Drosophila melanogaster: one gene and its partners. The protein of the gene in region 1 interacts with the protein of each later gene in a pairwise test. Each region holds a gene or a part of one and is shown in the gene's direction. Other genes may lie near its edges.

The links.
Region 2: the proteins of CG14074 (region 1) and BomS4 interact in a two-hybrid assay, tested with the Drosophila melanogaster proteins (one large-scale study listed by BioGRID).
Region 3: the proteins of CG14074 (region 1) and CG3788 interact in a two-hybrid assay, tested with the Drosophila melanogaster proteins (one large-scale study listed by BioGRID).

Annotation. Positions count from the first base shown.
Region 1 is NT_037436.4:18,860,826-18,867,931, forward strand, and holds CG14074 (uncharacterized protein), read left to right. Parts: upstream 1-5,399; 5' UTR 5,400-5,436; intron 5,437-5,494; 5' UTR 5,495-5,513; coding exon 5,514-6,524; 3' UTR 6,525-6,606; downstream 6,607-7,106. Other genes in the region: CG6865 (uncharacterized protein), read left to right, coding at 2,896-2,962, 3,431-3,769, 4,083-4,378, 4,441-4,596; Dysb (dysbindin), read left to right, coding at 7,055-7,106.
Region 2 is NT_033778.4:18,380,834-18,387,146, forward strand, and holds BomS4 (bomanin short 4), read left to right. Parts: upstream 1-3,733; 5' UTR 3,734-3,803; coding exon 3,804-3,861; intron 3,862-3,925; coding exon 3,926-4,005; 3' UTR 4,006-4,078; downstream 4,079-6,313. Other genes in the region: BomT1 (bomanin tailed 1), read right to left, coding at 677-801, 864-930; BomBc1 (bomanin bicipital 1), read right to left, coding at 1,953-2,248, 2,313-2,370; BomS1 (bomanin short 1), read left to right, coding at 3,190-3,247, 3,317-3,396; BomBc2 (bomanin bicipital 2), read right to left, coding at 4,219-4,625, 4,681-4,738; BomS2 (bomanin short 2), read left to right, coding at 5,840-5,897, 5,960-6,039.
Region 3 is NT_033778.4:22,929,800-22,937,564, reverse strand, and holds CG3788 (uncharacterized protein), read left to right. Parts: upstream 1-3,487; 5' UTR 3,488-3,964; intron 3,965-4,041; exon of another isoform or gene 4,042-4,056; 5' UTR 4,057-4,117; coding exon 4,118-4,181; intron 4,182-4,246; coding exon 4,247-4,446; intron 4,447-4,517; coding exon 4,518-5,201; intron 5,202-5,258; coding exon 5,259-5,447; 3' UTR 5,448-5,530; downstream 5,531-7,765. Other genes in the region: CNBP (CCHC-type zinc finger nucleic acid binding protein), read left to right, coding at 1,053-1,550; ReepA (receptor expression enhancing protein A), read right to left, coding at 6,286-7,176, 7,246-7,372, 7,492-7,765.

The DNA of each region.
Region 1 (7,106 bases):
TTCCGGTGCGGCTCTCACACCGAGCAGACGTGTTGGCCTGCCTAGAATAAGAATAACATTCAAATGGTCAGTGCATTGTGATGCCCAAAATTGTGTTAAGCCATTGGCTAAGTTTGGCTGTTTTATATAAGAGTTCCTTCACGGACACTTATATAATTTTGATTGTTGCTCAGAAAGCCCTCATTGTTTACCAGTTGGCTTTCGAGCAATAATTGAAACCAGATAAGTGATCCCCTCAACGCTGACGATTTCAAAGCACTTCGTTTTGGTAAGTTAAGATTTATTTCATTAATTATGTTTAAAAAATATATAGAGATTTCAAATTTAATTACTTTAAATAAAAAGCATTGCTAATTATACATACGATTTTATAGATAAATTGAAATACTTATTATTAATATTTATATTTAAGTTCCAGCGATATAATTTTTTGAATTAAATAAATGTATACCTTTTTTCTGAATCTTTGTTAAGCAAGTTGAATCTTTGTAACAAAGACTTTTTTGTAGTGAAACTAGATAATTTGGTTAGCGAAAATAAAAGAACAAGTATAAATATTTATATATATACATAATTAATATGTAATATTTAGAAGCAATTTATATCCCATTAATTAAAGATATAAACTGATAAATTACTGAAATTGTGATCTATATGATTCTAGGCAGTTCAATTTCATAACTTAAGCATCCTTGTGTTTTATTTAGAAACCACTACTCACTCGAAATTCAATCGAAAACTATAAGCTATAATTATATATAGTTAAATTGCAATTTATACGATTGTAGATAGTTCCATTTTATAACGTAATGTTTTATTTAAAGCCTACTCACTACGAAAACTATAAACTATAATTACATACCTAGTTTAATTAAGTCACAATTAAGAAGATAATAAACAGTTAAATTTCATAACTGAAGCATCTATGCTAAATGTTTTTGTTTATAACCCACTACCACCCATTCGTGATTCCTATAAATACCTGCCAGTTAAATGGGTTCACTGCGCCCCAAAACATTTCCTATAGCGCCAAACACACCCGCATTAGCGACGTCCAAAGACTTCCCCCTTGCAATTAGTCACCTGAGAGCGGCGTCGTTGAACTTCGTCGAAATGAAAACAAAAGTGTAGCGAAATAGCTGAATAATATGACAATTGTCAAGCATAACTCAAGTACCTCAAATCGAAGCGACCTTCACATTGAATGCGCCCAAGTTTCGCCCAAAGGCGGGTGTCAATGCGCCTGAAACTTGTTTCAGTTGAGCTCCGCACTCGTGTTTGTTAATATTGTTTATATTTGGTTATTTGGTATCAACGCCAGTCAACGGCAGACAATGGATATATAGTGTTTTTTATGGGCGATTTGTTTAGTGAATTAGCATTTAGTGCGAAACAGAGCTGCCGCGATCAATGAACTCGATTGGGATGCTATCTGGTTTTCGGTTAAGGAACCAAAGTCATGAAATCAATTAGTAATTCTGGCATACTTGTCTGATCCACTGAACTGATTTGTGTGCTCCGACTGAGAATCGAGATTGTGGATAATGAATTATTAATGCCTTGGTCTGTAGATTTGTCATACTCCGTCTTAACTTTCAGTTTCAATTCCAATTCCTGCTTTGCCCACTTCAATACCCATCATTTTTGGCATGCTATTGCTTATAATACATATTATGTCATAGAAATGCACTTCCACCTGCATTTATCACTTTGATATGCGATGGATGGTGTATCAACCTTCCCATGTCGCCAATTGCATTGAGTGTGTGGGCCATGCGTTAGTTTTAAGGGCAATGTTAATGTCAAGCGGCTAATATTACATTGATTGCGCCGACATTGAATTTCAATTAATTTTTGGTCCCATCACAGTATTCATATGCAGCGCAGACATCCTAATTTGCATAACAGGCCCGATTACTAACTACCAGGTCTAAACTGATGGAAATATGACGTCTAAGGTTAGCTGCAATGTGCGAACTAATTGTGTCAAATGCAGGCAATGACATAACTGTAACGATTACGCAAATCCTAGAAACTTTTTTAACTTTCTTAAGATAGATTAGATAAATTAGATCTTGTAGGAACACAAAAATGCATTGTAAATCATAAGAACTGAAGAAATAAAAGATACTACATGCAAGCAAAAAGAAATTTAAAATCAAAAGAGTTGGTTTTGAATCATTTATAAAATTTTCTGTAGTTATGCAATAGCATTTCAGTTGATTAACAAGTCATAATAATATTTACACCCTTTTCTTTATTAACCATACAACAATTTCAATAACACCCTAAATACGTGCTAATCGCAATAATAATGTACTAAAATAAGGATAGAGGTGCAATAAACTCGTAGTGGTGGCATCGAAAATTCAGCATAAATATTGTCACACCTTTTGTCGCGCACTTTTCAATGTCATGAACTTCGCTGGGTCATAAAACGCAAAACACACAAAACTTTATTTCGGCCATTGTTTACTTTTGGGTTTGTTTTCGACTTTTCGGCAGCTCCTTAATTCACCCCCCCCCCCCTTGGAGCAATTGAAATGCCATAACGTGTGCACATGGCACCCATGCCCACAATACCAGCAAAAAAAAAAAAGGCGATGAGACAGGTAGTGCAGCGCAAAAAAAGCTCTCAGCTGAGGCAACAGGTGCCAAAGGCCCGGCTGCGACTTCCGTTTGTTATCAGGCCGAGAGAGCGAGCTTTCCGGCTAATCCGCATAGAACTCCGGACGACAGTGAAGTAAGTCAGTGGAACGGAGAGGCGCTGGACGCCCAGACACCTATATATAAATTAATTGCCGCACAGAATATTCGTGGCAGTTTCGTTTAAGCTTGAGCCGTGCTTAACGGGTTTTTTTTCGGGGCTAAGAACACTGGTTGTGCACACAGAAAATGTTGAAAATCGTATTCGTAGTCGCGGTTCTGTCGCTAGTGAAGTGTGCACAATCCCAAATTGCTTGTGAGTTGATTGAACAAATGTGACGAAAAGAGTAATAAGTCAAATATAATATGAAAAATAAAATAATTATAGTTCCTAAATTAGGATTCCTGGGAACTACCTTTTAACTTTTAACTTGTGTTTAATATTCCATTCATTTTTGCAGTCCTTAATATTTTAGGTTAGTTTATATCAATTAAGAAAGCATGATCTTTTAGCATTGTGGATTTATATGCTAAATTCACTGGATAAATCTAACATCTAATGTTCCAATTGCAACAGTTTATGCTTCCCTATTTGATAAGAACTCAACCTACAAATATTTCAAGATTCTATCAAAACTTGTATAATCATAAAACGTGCATAAGGAAAAGTTTACTAGATTATGAGAAATATAAATAAATGCGTTCTGCTTATATTAACTAATTATTTTCAACACTCCTTATCATGAACTCACGCAAATTGAAATTCCTCTGACTCCCATGACAGTTAGCAACCAGCCATGCTCGGTTCGAAATCCAAAAATCGTGGGAGGTAGTGAGGCGGAGCGCAACGAAATGCCCTACATGGTCAGTCTGATGCGTCGTGGTGGTCACTTTTGTGGCGGCACTATCATCTCGGAGCGATGGATCCTCACGGCGGGACATTGCATCTGCAATGGGCTGCAGCAGTTCATGAAACCAGCTCAAATCCAAGGAGTTGTGGGTTTGCATAGCATCAGGGAGTACCTCAACGGGATTGGCAACGGTCCGGATGCACTGAGGGTGGACTTCAAGAACATTGTGCCCCATCCGCAATACGACTGCAACGATGTGAAACACGATATAGGTATGTGTGTTTTTTAAGGGGTAATTGCAGGTTCAATTATTTTCCATATGTACAGAACTGAATCATAAATCAACAATATGACATTAACATGACATTATTTTTCAGTAAAATGAATAAAAAATTTTAATCTAGTAAAACACCATTAAAAATATGCGCTTAGGTTTTAAAAAAACAAACAGAAATACATAGGTAGGAAATAGTTTCAACAAAGGATATTAACATTAACCATAATGAATCAGAGACGAATCAAATAATACTTATTATTCTTAGTATTCCTTAAGCTATTGCAAATTGGTATTTTATTCTTTTACAGCCCTCCTGGAGCTGGTACAGCCAATCCGATTCTCTTCACACATCCAGCCCAGCTGCGTGGGATCCGAGGAGGGGCACCGAAGTCTGGAGCAGGAGTACGGAACAGTTTCCGGTTGGGGCTGGACGCACGAGAACCAAGCGGAAAACGATCGATCCGATGTACTGCGCAAGGCTACCGTTAAGATCTGGAACAACGAGGCGTGCGAGAGGTCCTACCGATCCTTGGGCAAGAGCAATACCATTGGAGAGACACAGTTGTGTGCCGGTTATGAAAACGGTCAAATCGACTCGTGTTGGGTGAGTATTCACTTGGCTGATACGGCACACATGTTATGCTCCGGGTTTACTTACCTTCACAGGCGGATTCTGGCGGTCCGCTGATGTCCAAGGAGCATCATCTGGTGGGCGTGGTGTCCACGGGGATCGGCTGTGCACGTCCAGGTTTGCCCGGAATCTACACGCGCGTCAGTAAATACGTGTCCTGGATGCAGAAAGTGATAGACGGCAGGAAATAGTTGGCCAGGAATCTGAAACATAAAGATTGTGATTCACCTGTGATATTAGTCGTACTCGATTATGTGATCTTCTTCAATAAACGTTACTTTAACCAACTAGAAATTCAATTTATTGCGGCCGGTCGTCATTTTTTAAACTTTAATCGATGATTGTGCCAATCGATATCGTTGGACTAATTTGTGGTATTTTGCAGAAAAGATTACTCTGACAATATTAATCGACAAGAATATCGCTAGTGTAGGAGGAACGGAGGAACGATGGAATTTTGAATAATTTATTCTTTCATTATTGAATTCAAAAAAATGCAATAACGTTTAAAAAAATATCTAACTACCTATGTACGACTTAAGTTCATAGGACTCAAGAAAGTATATGAAATATGCACTTGAAAACTTGGCTCCCCACGCTTACTGTCCCACCTGCTGCCCCGCCCGACCGACTGTCACCCGTGGCCCAACGAATGTCTTGACGTCTGCCCCGCCGTTTCCCTAAAGAAATGTCCTTAAAAGTGGTCACGCTCTACGAGTGGAGAAATTCCCGAAAATGTGGGAATAGTTAGTAAGATCTTTATTTTATTTTTTGCAATTCACCTCCAAATAACGAAAAGAAATAAATAAATAAAAAACGTCCCCATGTTTTGATTTCCACCGTTCCGTCATCGCCGCGAACTCATCGACGCTAATTTAACGCACATACAATAATCGCTTTATACTTAGTATTTTAAAAATACTTATAAGTAGCACTTACCGTCCGCGGTATTTTTTGTTTCGCAGCAATTGGTATTCAATTAAATGCCATAAACAAACACAAAAAATGGAAATGGACGCAGACCTAACAAAGTAAATATTTATATTACAATCCGATATATTTTTAATTAATTTGATGCTCTCACGTTAGTCAGGCGATTGCCGAGCTAATGCGCGAGATCGAAGGTGCAAATGCCAGTGTCAGCACCTCGAAACAAAGCGAACGCAAAGTGAATCCTCTGGGCAAACTAAACAAACGCTTCTTAGGCCGCACCATAAACACCGCGATTCGGCATAATGATAGAGAAAAGGAGCGCACACAGGCAAATTGCCGACAGAAGCTGCAGGATCTGGATGATGTGCACGAAAGGAGGAAGTCCAACTACTTTTACAGCCGCGATGCACCCAGAACTCAAAGTGTTGATAGAAGCAGAAGTTCCAGCAGAAGGCGCAGCAGGAGCCGCCACAAAAAGGCCAAGAAGCATCGCAGCCGAAGAAGAACTAGGAGCAGCAGAAGTTCAAGCCGCAGTCGAAGTCGCAGCAGTTCACATCGGCGAAAAAAGCGCAAAAAGAAGGTTAAAAAACACAAAAAATCACACAGAAGACGAAGAAGCAGCCAGAGCAGCAGCGGTTGCGATTGGGAATCCGCACCCAGCGAGTCGTTACGTATACCCCCGCCTTCAGATGTGTTCCTAAACCACTCCAAGCAAATGGCTCTTGCAGTGGCCATGGCCTATGGTCAATTACTAAACCCGAGCAGCCAAAAGAAAGCCAGCGAGTCTAAGGAACACTCCTCCTCTCCTATAAGCGATATATTCCGGGAACTTATGTCCGACGAAGAGGTGGACAAATCCGAGAAGCCCGAGGCCCTGTCCATTTCATCCAGCGACGAAGAGCCAAATGTTCTCACCATTAAAGTAAGCTCGAGCTCCGAGTCCAGCGGCAATAAATCAAGCTCGGACTCAGATTCAGAAGCAAAGAACAGCGTACGCAGCTGTATAACCCTAGAATCTGGTGATAATAGTGATATTGAGATAATTGAGTACCATGAAGAGCCCAAAAAAAAGGCATGTGAAACTGAACCTGCGTCTGAACCTGAATATCCGTCTCAATCGGATAGCACAAATCAACAAGTGGACGATAGCACAGCTGTCACTACAGTGGACCTGACCGAGGATTAATTAGGCTAAACTTTAGTTAGAGAATCGTTATGTAAGATCAGAATGAAATTTTAAAGGAAACAAACTGAAGTTGAACCAAACTAAGAATATTGTTTTTATATTATTATTACAGATATAAGCTCTGCCATAGATAGATTCATATTTGGTTGGTTTTTTTTTAAGTTATGTTTAATAGTAATATACTAAATATACCACCGAATGATACCCTGTTGTGTCTGTTTATAATATCAACTTTGGGTTCATTTTTTTATTTAAATTATAAAATAAAAATGCAAAATTTGAAATGTTAATAATACTTATTAGTTTTAGTAAGTAATAAAAACCACGTGCCAGAGCTCTTGCCATAGTTGATATGCCTCTCGTGTACGGCAACAAACTGTTGCTCTCTCTCTCTCTCTATGACCGATTTTCTCTCAGCACCTGCCCGAACAGCTGATTCTTTATTTACCACTCAATTTTCGATGGAAAACGCCAGCGCGAAGACAATTAGAAATCGCTAAGTTAAATAAATAGAGATCCGTTGTCGCAAGATGTTCGGGAACCTGAAAAAGAAGCTTAGCAGTGCGATCCAGGAGGGCCTGG
Region 2 (6,313 bases), on another chromosome or scaffold:
CTACCTCGAAAAGCAGGCCGAAAATGTCTGGTAGGGATTGAATTGGATTGGCCACCCCCCCCTCACATACAACTAAATGTCGCAATTTTACGAGTCAATATAAAGGTGCCTGAGGAGTCATTTACAGGCGCACAGCGGTTTGCCTTCGCTCGGTTTTCTTTGGCAATAAAACATCTCTCAAAGGACACGGGTCACAGGACACGCGGAAAGCGCGGTATGTGGCAATGCCTTTGCCTTTGCCGCAAGGAAAACGAGAAAAACACGTGTTCGACGGCCTGGTGGCGGGTATAGCCAAATATGATGGCAATTTTTATGCCTTTTTGTTGAAATATTTCCACCAATGAGGCATAAAACAGAAGCCAAAACGGAACTTTCCTCGGGCCCCACAAATGATTTACGATCCGGTCTTGAGTTTACGACAAATTTACGAGAACATTGCAATTTGGCTATTATTAATTTAGTACACTGCTGAAGCAGTCAGGAAGCGAAGAACAATGCCTTAAGCTCGATTCTTATACATTTCAAAGAAGGTTTTTAATCAGAAACACGGTGACACTTTAGCATAATAGTTACTTCTTTTTATTTTATGCACACAAGCTAATACTTAGTAGTTTAAATTAGTTTTTGTTTTTTGTTTTAATATGGCAAGTTTGAGGTAATTTATTTATAAATACATTTACCATCTTCGAGTAAATTTGATTGATAAGTGAGCCGAGTTTTTGGTGGCGCGTGCCGTGCAGTCATTGCAATTGCCATGAACTATAATGTCGCCATTGCGAATGGTAATCCTGGGAATTGTTCCTGAAATAAGTAACATATTTTTATAGATATTCATTGGAATAATTTTTATAGATAGAACTTACGAGCATATCCAAATTCGACGAAGAAAATGAGCGCCAGTAGCGCAAACAAAATCGAAAACCACTTCATCGCTGCGACAATTGAGACGAGTCAATAACTGCGATCGCTCAATTCCAGTGCGATTTATACGGCTGCATCTTTTCATCTCGACGGTGAATAACACGGGAGTAACAGAAAATACCCTAGAATATTTTATAGATCTTTGGGTTTTCCAAAAGCCCCATCGCTCTTGATAACGTATACCACTCAACTGAACGTTTGACTCAGAGGCAGTGCATCTCAAAAGCATCTCAAAAGCTTCAACTAAATCAGCTTATTATTTAAGTAGTATTCTAAGTTATAGTTGTGATAAGAGTAATATGACGTAGGGGGAATATTTCAGATATGCAATGCATATTATTTTCGAGTTGTGTAATAATCATAAGTAATATGAAGCTCTATTACTTGAAAAACTATACTAAGTATCTGTTAAAGTTAATTTTCGAACTACTTTATTTAAAACACACATTTGAAGTTCTTAATATTTTTGTAGAATTTCATTTAAATTGAAAAATGAATATTGTCGTAAAAAGTATTTTCAGTGCATGTATGTATTCAATTATGGTCGAATACCGCAAATATTAATAAAATTCTATGGAAGTAAAGTATGTAAACTTGTATATTGCGCAAACAAAACTTTTTTTTTCCGACCAATAAACAATGCTTTGATAAAAAGAAATGAAAAGGAAAAATTAAAATTTTAAATTGGTAATAAAATGCCATCATATGTTTAATAAGCGTATTAAACGAGGGTCTTTTTGATTTTCTAATTGATTTATAACTTTTTTATTAGCTTTGATTACTTAATAGCTCTTATATAATTTTACTTTTTAATTAAAAATGTTTGTCTCTACGAAACTCAAAAAACAGTTGGAAAATTAATTTTATCAAAATTTATAAAGGACATTTATAAAGGTCTGAACCAATAAGATTCTATAAAATATGACATAAAGTAACTATACCAAATTTTCAGATTTTTTAAAGAATTATAAATTATGCCCGAAAATTAAAAAATGCGAGGTATTTTATGTACAAATCACAATATAATTTCGTTAATCCCCGCCCCCGCTGATGCTGCAGCCCACGCAATCCTTATTGTGAAGGTAAGTGCCACCTGGCAGACGACCACTGTAACCATCCGGATACTGGGCGCCACCGCCTCCTCCGCCGCCAGCGCCAGTTCGCCGAATGGGACCATCGAGAGCTCCTAGATATGCGCCAGGGGAATTGATATACACCGTTCCCTGGCCCGGCCTACCCGTCCTGTAGGATTGGCCACCGACTACGACGTTTTCCGCCACCGGCGGACTGCAATCCTGGCATACTCCGCCGATAATCACATTTCCGGCTGCGGAATAATAAAATAATAAGCGAAATTGTGACATTGAAAGGCGCGCCCATCTGATTCTTACCCGTAGCCTGGGAAGCCAGGACAACGAAAATTGCAAAGGACAGAATCAGGCACTTCATTCTCAATCTGCGTGCAAGACGAATCTATTCGAGACACATGGAATCTGTGAGCTTTTAAGCATTCCCATTCGCTTTGTTATGAAAACCAGATTGCAGTGGAGGCACAACCAAGGGTGGATAGGTGCGGGATTCGCCCCCAGAAACCAGTTCAATTTACAGATAACTCTTGACAGGGGTTTTCCACAAGCTTCTTACTTTGCTTATTGCTAGCTAGAAATCGAATGAAAGCTTATTTGTAAAATATAGAATTTTTAGATTGTTTTGATTTTTACATTCTAGCTCATGTTTATCATGTTTGTGATAAAATATACAGATTTTTATGCCATCAATAATTTAATGTCTTCGGTTATCATTAAATTTGCTTTTCTTGACAATTATATATAAATATAAGAATACCCATTGTCTCATTTCATCTGCATAATTTGTTCGACAACTTTTACAACTTTTACTTAATTATATTTATATATTTATATAAAACTTAAAACAAGCTATTTCTTAAAAAATGCTTCTTACCAATGATTCTACCGATTTACCTGAAATTAATAATTAATAATTAAAATAATAATTTATATAAAATTCTTATAAAAAAAAAGTCTGAAATATGCGTACTTTTACCTTCTTTGAAGACTTCATCTTAAGTCTACCGATTAAATGCTTGTGTTTTCCCAAATACACGGCTTATCACCAATTCGCGTGGCTCTCTAATCCGACGCTCGACTATATAAGATCGGCTCCAACTAGCCGAGATCATCAGTTCAATCCAATCAATTGCCCAGTGCACTCAGTATCCAAAACCGGAGAAATCCATCCAGAATCAATATGAAATTCTTCTCAGTCGTCACCGTTTTTGTGCTCGGTCTGCTGGCTGTGGCCAATGGTGAGTAAAACTAATTGAAATTGCCTATTTGATGATTTAACTAATTTTATTATTATTATTATTTTCCAGCTGTTCCACTGTCGCCCGATCCAGGAAATGTGATCATCAATGGCGATTGCAGGGTGTGCAATGTCCACGGTGGCAAGTAGGAAGTTTCAACCCAAGGATTCGAAAAAGGACATAGTCTACAAACTAGAACACAAAAGCTGTTACCATTTTTTACTGGAATAATACATAGAATTAAAAATGCAAATCAAAGAAATACATACAAATAGAGGATTCTATTTCCTTTCTAACTAAACAAAAGATGTTTTTTATTTTTAGTATTTTCGAATTAATCAAAACAAAAAGTGTAAATCTATATTTCCCACGAAAAAAATATTTTGTCAGCAGCTATCAATCAATCGCTCTCATCTCATATGGCACTTGATTCACTCCTAGATCCGACTATCTGCTATATAAGATCGGTTTCCCTTAATCGAGAGCATCAGTTGTAGTTGATCGTTTGTCCGGTGTGTTCAGCTTATAAAACCGGATCTATTAATTGAAAATCAATATGCGATTCTTTGCAATCGTCACTGTCTTTGTGCTTGGTCTTCTGGCTTTGGCCAATGGTGTGTAGAACCTACAAAGATTAATTAGTTGATTACTTAAGTAAATAATCATCTTATTCAACAGCTATTCCGTTGTCACCCGATCCAGGAAATGTTATCATCAATGGCGACTGTGTGAATTGCAATGTTCGTGGTGGCAAATAGAAATTTTTAATCAAAACTTATATTTAGCATCATAATAAAAATGTAATAAAATGAAAGCTATATTGTAAATTGTATTTAAATCGCAATCATTTATAGAGACTATAAGAAAAAATTCGAATATTGGTTTACAGATGATTCCTCCACCACATAAGTTTAAACAATCTTCGTTTTAAAAAAAAGATAATTTCTTAGTGTTTCAATAATTTATTGACTTTATCCGCGAATATTGCAACCGACGCAATCACTATTGCGCACCAGTGTTCCGCCGGGATAGCCACTGGAATCGATGGTGGTTATGCCAGATCCTGCCCATCCTCCGCCTCCACCCCTTCCGCCAGATCCGCCCAAATCGATGTACTGACCACCGCGTGACTGACGCTTCGAACGCCTGCCAATGTATTGAGTTCCTCCAGCCGATTGATGCAGTGCCCAGTCACCGGTCAGGTCATCATCATCATCGTCATCCCATGATGGGCGACCGCGGGCTGGAGATGATCTCGAGCTTGGCCGGGCTGTCGTCCTACCTCCACTTCCTTTTCCACTTGTTGGCTTGTGCGTGGTGGTAGTCGTTTGATCATGGGAGCAGTTTACGCACTTGCCGTTGATGGTCACCTTGCCACCTAGGTAGAAGAACGGTTAATATTCAAGTTAAAACCTTTTGGCCTTCAAACCGACCGTGGACAAAGGCCAACGTGGCCAAGATCAAAAGCGCCAATAACGTCAGGCTCTTCATTATGATTCCCTCTAAGCCGATTGATCGGCGTCGCCTTCTTTTTATAGCCGTGCCGATTAGCTGAGATTTATAATCTGTATAATCTATATATATAATGTATACAAATTTAAAACCGATCTGGCTGGAATTGAGTACACCTTTGTTTTAAAACAAAGCTGAACTATTGACTGTTGCCTGTGTAGGAGATTAAAGGAAATGAGTGCTTTTCAAAATATAATAAATTATCATCTTTTTTTTAAAATCAATACAATTTACAAAGCGGCTGATGCAATTTTATTTCAGCTATTTATTATAGATTAACCATATTCTAACATGATTTAGTTAATTATTCCCTGAGTTCTAACTTTTTTTTAAATATTATATTGACTGCGTATAAAATTTCATTTAATGGTTACAAGAAGAATATAACGCTTTCTTTGTAGTAATTGTTAAAAAGATTACTACAGAATATTATTATTTAAAAACATACTCAATAGTAAGTTTAATGAACTCGTTTTTGAATGCAAGTGTATACGTGTTAATTTAATTTGTAGCACGTGCAGACTTTGTATTCAAAATGTTATAAGCCGGTTTCAATTTCACTGAGCACAACACATTTCTATATTGAAATATATGCAAAACTTTGCAGGTGCATGTGCTTCAAATCGAGGTAAAAAACAACAACAAACTTTGTTTGTAAACAAAACAAAAAACAAATTATTCAGTTCTTATAAAGAAAGACAAATGATTGAAAGCTATATTGAACTGCAACTATTTTGAATACTTCTAAGAACTCCAATGGTTTTCTCTCGAACATTAAAGCAATCTTAGCTTCTACCTGTTGGTTCACATAACACGCCCATAAACACGGGACTGGAATTTCCAGATTTAAATACGCAAAACAAATGCTATTGAACGCTCAACTTTCTGTGTTTTCCCAAGCGCTTTCGATTCGATGGGGGTTATCAGTGGCCTCCGTCCAACCAATGCACATTTGCTGCTCCAAGATTCCAGGCTGAGCTATATAAGATCCAATCGAACTAGCCAAGAGCATCAGTTGAATTCAATCGATTGCTTGTGCATTTAGCAAATCAAAGCCACAACAACCAAACCAGAATCAATATGAAGTTCTTCTCAGTCGTCACCGTCTTTGTGTTCGGTCTGCTGGCTCTGGCCAACGGTTAGTAATACTATATTTTATAGCTATTTGATTACTTTATAAATTATTTATTTCTTCCGCAGCTGTTCCCCTGTCGCCCGATCCAGGAAATGTGGTAATCAACGGGGACTGCAAATACTGCAATGTGCACGGTGGAAAGTAGGAAAGTAGGAAAGTAGGAAAGTACTCGCCTTAATTTCGAAGATGGGCCAAAACTTACCTCAAATCCAAAGCACCATATTTATACTCTCACTCTTGTACTAAAATGAAAACTAGTAGTAAAAAATACATCGCCAATTACAAATAAAATGGTGAAAAAACAAAACTATTTTCGTATTTTTAATACCTTGCAGCTAATATAAACAAGTAGCTAAACAAGAAATGTTCACTAAAGCATTTGATTAACACAATTTCAATGCAAATTAAAGCCAAATATA
Region 3 (7,765 bases), on another chromosome or scaffold:
CAGGAATACCCTTTTCATATAGTAATCGATGTCACCCAGATTTCAAAAAATCGTGCTGCCCAATATTTGGGATAATATAACAATAATATAAGTGTACTCAGCGTATTATTTGTGAAAGTCCTTAAAAATGTACACCACTATGAAATATCGATTTTTTGACAAAGCCAGGTTCTTTTGATAAATCGTTTTATATATATGCACATAAAATATTTTATTAGTTGTTACGTAATCTGAGTGCTTTTCTATTATTAGAGTATTACGTTTTCTCTTATGAAGTCTTCAGTTAGCTATTCTTTGCTAAGCACCCCTAATGTGTCAATCGATATCAATTTCTGCAAATAGCCAATTTCAAAAAGGTGAACGTATGTTGTGTCCAAACAATTAAAATAAAACAATTATTTGAATGGACTTCCTTATAAATTTAAAGATATATATTTCGATAGCCCTTTGCCAGGGGTACTCCTAACGACTGAGCCGATAAGTTGCAGTCCATCACCACGGACACACTGGTTACGTGTGGTTATAAAGTGGCAAAATCGAGTTCGCAAAATTGGGTTATGTAGTGCCTCCTAAATATGGAGGACACGAGACAAAAGCTAAACACGCCAAGTGAGAAAGCAAAATGGAAATGTAGATTCTGTGAGACAAAGCACGCCGAGTGGAAGTAGTACGACACCAGCACACTACACAATTCCAGACTGACATTTCGCCTCACCATCGCATATCCTCGAACCAATGTGCACCGCGTGGAGGGTCAGTGTTGTATTCAAGCGTAGCCGAAGCAACTCTGGCGAGTAGTCGATACCACAGCAAATCGGTACTCATTCGCTCAGCGGCAGCCATTTTAACTTTTGGCGTCGAAAATACGGCGAGGAAATCTGAGGAAGCCGGAGATCCTGTTGGTCTGTGTGATTTTTTCGCATCCAGCGCAAGCAGTGTGTAGTGCTCGAGGGCCCGTGGTTACCAGTGAGTGTGTGAGGAAGTTGAGAAGTTGAGTTTAAGAAGCGGAGTCGGATTTGCGGATCAGTAGTCTAACCAAAACCGAAGCAAAGATGTCGATGTCTGCCACGTGCTACAAGTGCAACCGGCCGGGCCACTTTGCCCGGGACTGCAGTCTCGGCGGCGGCGGAGGTCCGGGCGGCGTTGGAGGAGGCGGTGGTGGCGGCGGCGGCGGTATGCGCGGCAACGATGGCGGCGGCATGCGTCGCAACCGCGAGAAGTGCTACAAATGCAACCAATTTGGGCACTTCGCACGTGCCTGCCCTGAGGAGGCCGAGCGCTGCTACCGCTGCAACGGCATCGGGCACATCTCGAAGGACTGCACCCAGGCGGACAACCCGACCTGCTACCGTTGCAACAAGACCGGACACTGGGTGCGCAACTGCCCAGAGGCCGTCAACGAACGTGGACCGACCAATGTGTCGTGCTACAAGTGCAACCGCACCGGACACATCTCCAAGAACTGCCCGGAGACCTCGAAGACTTGCTACGGCTGCGGCAAGAGCGGACATCTGAGGCGCGAGTGCGACGAGAAGGGCGGACGGAACTAGGCGCCACCACCCACCCGTGGCACCTCATAAATGTAATCATCGAAGGAGGAATATGAGTAATAATTCAACACACGAAGAACAACCAGAAGAAAAGATGAGAACGAAAAAAAATGAAAAAAAAACGAAAAATCAATTTGCTACAACATTCACAAAGCCAGCCAACAGCAACAACATCTAGAAGCGATAGCAGCAGCACCCAAGTCAAGATCAACCCCTTCAAAATAAAGAACCCACAACCACATCCACATCCCTCCATTAACACATGCAGCATATGAATCCATAATCCTGAACATCATCCAGTAACCATCGCTGATTCCAAAAGCCGAGCCTGCAGCGCGGTGCCAACGTCCCGAGAACTGAAAGAAGACAAGAAGTATTGGCTTTCCGAGGGAAAGCCGCCAGAAAAGGAATCACGGAGGAGGAAGAGGGCAAAGGCTCCTCGAGCGGGGGTCGGAGGAGCAGAACCAGAAGACGATAGCCAACGGCAGCTGTGCAGCCGAGAGAGCAGATGACACCGACGACGAGGAAGAGGATGAGGTAGAAGATGAGGAAGAAGACACGACGACCCAATTTGTAAGATGAGACTAAACCACAACAGCAACAACAAAAGAAATCACCAAGCAAACCACTCTACTATAATTATACCTATATGATTATATGATTATGCTGCAAGTGTTTGAATTTACTAATTACATTATAACGAATGGAATGAAACTATATAAGATTATATAAAGAAAAATACCTTAAAGAATACTATTTAAAGCAAATGATCCTATTAGGAGTTCCACAGCCAGAAACAACCGAAAGAAAAACGTAAATAAAAATTATAAAAACCAATGAAAAAGCGAAGAATCAGGCGGCTAGAAGATCAGGCCACGTTACCACTCGACTCCACTCAACTCCACTCCATCCAGCTGCTGCCGGCGAGCCTTGGGAATTATCCAGGATCTAAGACTGTAAGACAGGATCTGTAGACAGTAACCAGTATCCCACCCCTATACCATTAACTCCATCCACATCCATACCATACCACACACCCATCAGCCAAGACGCCTGGCAAGATCTCTCAAGCGGGGTAGCATGCTATGTAGCTCATAGCTGTGGAGCCAAAGGGGGCAGCAAACAAGAACAGAGAAGCAGACAAATAACAAGAAGAGAACATCAACAATGGTAGACATACACGACGACTTTGAAAACGGAACGCAACGCTGGAGAGGATGAGCTAAGCGGTTAAAGAAGCAGACAAGCAAGCGGCACTCAGAACACTCAGTGGGCAGATGAAGAAGACAACGGCACACACACACCTTCAGTTCAGTTCAGTTGGACGGACGGGACACAAAAGATGCGAGACCGAAACCTACGTACGATGAAGGAAATGAAAATTCAAATATCACTGTGATTGTTTTTTAATTGTAAATTAAAATGCTGGAGCTGCTGATTTGAGACAAAAAAAAAAATAATCCCGCACCATGTGTTATGTCTTTGGGGTAATTCTTGCAGCGTCTTCCAGGGTAACATCTTTCATTAGGCCCCCTGCCAATTTGAGGCATCTCCGCCCCTGAGCGGGAGAGAGCGATCGCCCGCTTTCGCACTCTCTCCATCTCGCTCGCGCAACCAGTTTACCGGCGATTTTCACAACTGCAGCTGCGGGAACACATGGCGCAGGCAGCTGATGGCGATGGCTGGATGGAATATGGGGCTGGGGGCTCTCTTTTCGCTATGTGCTCACGCCGCTTTCTTTGCTCTCCTGCCCTGTTCTTTTCTGTGTGCAGTTCGCGTACCAGCACACACAACACACACACACATGCATGCGTACATACGCGCGCGCTAAGTGAATGCATACATACGTATGTATGGACGTACAGCGTGCTGCGAGGTACAGTCGCCGCTAATGGTGAAAACTGGCTGTGCGAAAAAGCAGGCAGAGAGCAAGAGGAAGAGAGAGCGGTCCCGGGGTGGGGTGGCAACTTCAACTTTGCCGGCTGCACTTGGCAACAAGTCTGCAAGCGACTGCGACTCCAATTGAGGGTCAAGGTCAGCGCTCGCGCATCAGCTGCTGCGCATGTGTGACGACCACGACGGCGGCCGTGACGCGACGGTGGCTTCGCGAAAGCTGCGCTCCGAGTTTCTGGAGCCGCATGCGGATGGGCAAGAAGCAGAGAGCGGTTGGCAAGCCGGTTTGGTCACTTTTTGCGCTTCTCCATACTTAAGTGCGGTGCGATCGCGGGTCGTCCAAGTAATCGCCGCATTTAGTTAGGCCTACGAGGGGCGCTATTAAAGTACTGCGCAGCTTACACTCATCTGCAAATGTTTGGTGACCATATGTACGGGTGAAGATACAAATGTAACTCAAATTTAGGCATACTAAATGATTTTGGAAACTTATGTCCTTTAAGTCCACTTTTGTAATAAAGGTAACAATGAAAATACCTTATATTACGAATTATAGTAGTCGCAATGTCTGACAACTTTCTATATTTCAATTATAAATTCAAACTTTAAATAGACACTCATTCCGGAAGTAAGACAAAATTGCTGGAAGTAACTTAAAAATTAAAAAAACAAAAATGTCCAAAAGCAACTGCAGTGACTGCACATGCCGTTTGGCCAACGAGGTGGGCCAGCTAAAGGGTGACTACTTTCAGTTTAGACAGGAGTTTCCTGAGATCCCTCATAACACAGACCGCATCCCATAGCCATCGTGAATGCCCAGAGCAGGACGCTCGCCAAGCTGGTCCGTCAGATGAAGGAAGGCTGCAAAAAGGACGAGGAGGCCAAGGAATCCACATTGTGCGGCCTGAATCCCTGCCTGAAGTGCCTGCAGCCTGACATACTCTACCACCTGGGCCTGAATACGGAGACCACGGACTTTCCCAAGGTTTTTGGTGATGTGAGGGTTAGTCTCAACCATTATACTCAAGTATCTAGTAACTATAAGTATGCTAAGCGTATCTTCTTTGCACAAAGTTTGTATGCATGGGAGGTACTCCGGGTCGGATGGAAAACTTTGCCTACTACGTGATGCAGGAGATCGGTCTGAAGATAAACGCGGCTACCAAGCTACGGAACATATCGGAGGCCGGCCAGCGATTCTCCTTGTTCAAGGTGGGTCCCGTGCTCTGCGCCAGCCACGGAATGGGTTGTCCGTCGATCTCCATACTGCTGCACGAACTCATCAAGATGATGTACCACGCCAAGTGCAAGGACCCCGTCTTCATCAGAATTGGCACCAGCGGCGGCATTGGCGTTGAACCCGGCACCGTGATCATTTCCTCCGAGGCGATTGATGGTCGCTTGAATCCCGTCCACGAGATCCTTGTGCACGGCGTCAGTGTCCAGCATGCCAGCCAGCTCGATGAGAGTCTGGCCGATGAAATCAAGATGTGCCACGATCCCTGCAAGGACAAATATGAAGCTGTCATCGGCCGGACTCTGTGTGCCCATGACTTCTACGAAGGCCAGTCGCGCCTCGATGGAGCCTTCTGCGAGTACACGCCCGAAATGAAGAAATCCTACTTGGAGACGCTGCAGAGCCAGCAGGTGAAGAATATCGAGATGGAGAGCTTGGCCTTTGCCGCCCTCACCAGTAGGGCCAACATCAGGGGCGCGGTCGTCTGTGTGGCCATCCTGAATCGCCTAAATGGGGATCAAGTGAGTTCATTACAGTCCATTATTATAATGTTATCTACCAACTAAAATCATACTAAGATCAAAACGCCACATGATGTTTTGTCCAAATGGGAGAAGAGACCACAGGAGCTGGTGGCCCGCTATATACGCAAGGTTCTTTACCATAACGACGATGACGATGAGTCGGAGCAACCGGAGGACGAGGCCGAGGCAGGAGCAGCTGGGGGCGGGGACACCCAAAAGGCGCCTGTAGAAGAAGCCGAGTAAGAAGTCCTTCGTATCTAAGTAAACGGTTCTGAATTGCTAGTTCAAAGATCATTAAAGACATCTCTGGTTGTTCAGTTCAATGGATCAATGGTATAGATTCTTTTATTTAATGTTCAATTACAATATTAGGAATTTATGCTACACAATTGATAGGTTTCTTCGGGTTTCATTTTTGGTTAGTACATCTGTTGCAGAACCTTTGGATAGAGGCTAGGAGACTCGCTTAACGCTAAACTAGTCACGAAATGAGTACCAGTGGCAACCAGGACGAACTGCGCCCGGAGCTCTAATAGAATCACAAACAAAGTACACAGTGCATGCGCATATATAGCTAATATTATCATAATCTGTATCGATATCCGTATAAAGTTACAATTTAAACTAAAACATGAGGTTCTGGTTCTATGGATTCCACTGTCTGCCCACCGTCACCATCTAAATCAACATACTGACAAAGATGGGCAGCCTTAAACCGATGCTCCACTACTTCTCCGACTTGTTGCGCGTTTTCATCTGGCCAGTGGCAGTTCCACCCTGGGATCTCTCCGATTTCCGGCTGCTCGAGCGGGGCAAGGTGGTGCAGCTAGCAGACATGGATTTGTCCTGCAATAAGTCAAGAAAGTAGATGAAGGATGAGAGTATGTACTTCAATTGGAGCCTCTAAAACAACATGCTGCAAATCCTTAAATCTGGGGGTTAGTAACGCAACTGTACAGAAAGATAATGCCATATTGGGGGCCATGGAAGTTAAAGGCGGAGCAGAAATCGCCCGGCGGTGAGCGAAACATAACACGGGGATGATGAGAGCTTCGAAAACGGGCTTGCGGCTGGGCTTACTTCAAATCTGTGTCTCTTTGGCCGCCAGCTGCTCATCCTCGGGCTGCTGCTGGCTGGGATTAGCTTTGTTACGCAGCACATTAGCTTTGATATTCTTGAACAGTTGTCCGATACCTGACTTGCGTTCCACGCTGCCCGTCGATGTCTGGCTGATGGCGTCCGGTTGGGGACTCAATGAGTGCTTCTTGGGTGGCAAGGGCGGTGGTGGAGCTCGTCCCTTGCCATGGTTGGCCTTGGGCCGCAAGGAGGGTGATGGTGAGGCTGATACGGAGGGCTCTGCTTCCAGTTGGGCACGGAAACTGTGCTTAATCTCCTCCAGAGTCTCGCGCATTTCACGCGGCGACATTGGACGCGGCCGTTCGGGCATAAAGGGATCCGGAGCAGATGCAGAAGCGCTTAGAACCAGCAAAAATGGGTCTATCGGTGGATGGACATAGGGCTTGTTTTGGGAAGGTGTTCCTGAATCAGTAGTTTCAGCAGATCCATTCGGAGTCTGGTTTTGACTTCTATCCGTTAGTATCTCCTCAATATTTTTAGCATCCACTTCATCTGAGACACATTTCTGTGGTTCCTCAAACAATGCATCTTCAAACTGCTCCTCTTCTATCGAATTATGCTTCCGCTCTTGGGGCAACAACTTTTCATCCCTTCCATAGTTAGCCACCACTTCATTTATGTGCTCCTCTATCAAAGGCAAGGTTTCAAAAAAGGCCTCATCTTCTGCATCAATGTTCTCCTCCTTCAGCACCTTTTCCAACTCCTGAGATTGGATGCTTTCAGAACTCTCCACTATTTTCAGTTCTTCAGCTTCTGGAACTGAGCTCTTCCTTTGCACACCTTGAAAATACAGCTGGTTGTCTAAGTAGACCTCGTCTCTCATCTCTTCCAGCAACTGCTAACCAACACCAATCTCTAAACGGATTAAGATAGTTCCAAAAAGAAAGACTGAAATGATTCCTACCTCATTGCGTTTGGACTTGGCTCGAGCCTTGGAAGCGTTTGTCATGGAGGAGGTGCGACTGAGACCACTCACAGGTTCGGCGCTCGAGTAGCCAGAGCTGATGTCATCCTGGCTGCGAATGTTGTAGCTGAAATAGATACGAAATAATTTGATTATCGAATTTGGCAAATGAAATAACTTGAAATCGAAAAAGGGGATTACCCAAGTATTGAGTTTCTTGTGGTACTGAACTGAACAATGACTCACTTGAAATCGCCGGCATTCTTGGCGGTCACATCCACCTCCGTAAAATACATGCCCGTGGAGTGGCGTGTTCCGCTGCCGGATCTGCCCACGGGCGTCTGATTTCTTGGCCTCAGTAGACGTGCGCCAGTGGCTGTGGAACGCATGACCACCGCCGACGATGTCATCGAGGACATCATCACGTCGTCCAGCTCGTCCTGCGTGCGATGCATATCCGGTTCGCTAAGATCGCTGAGGCTGTAGCTCCGCTTGATCGTCTGCACCAGATTGCCGCCTC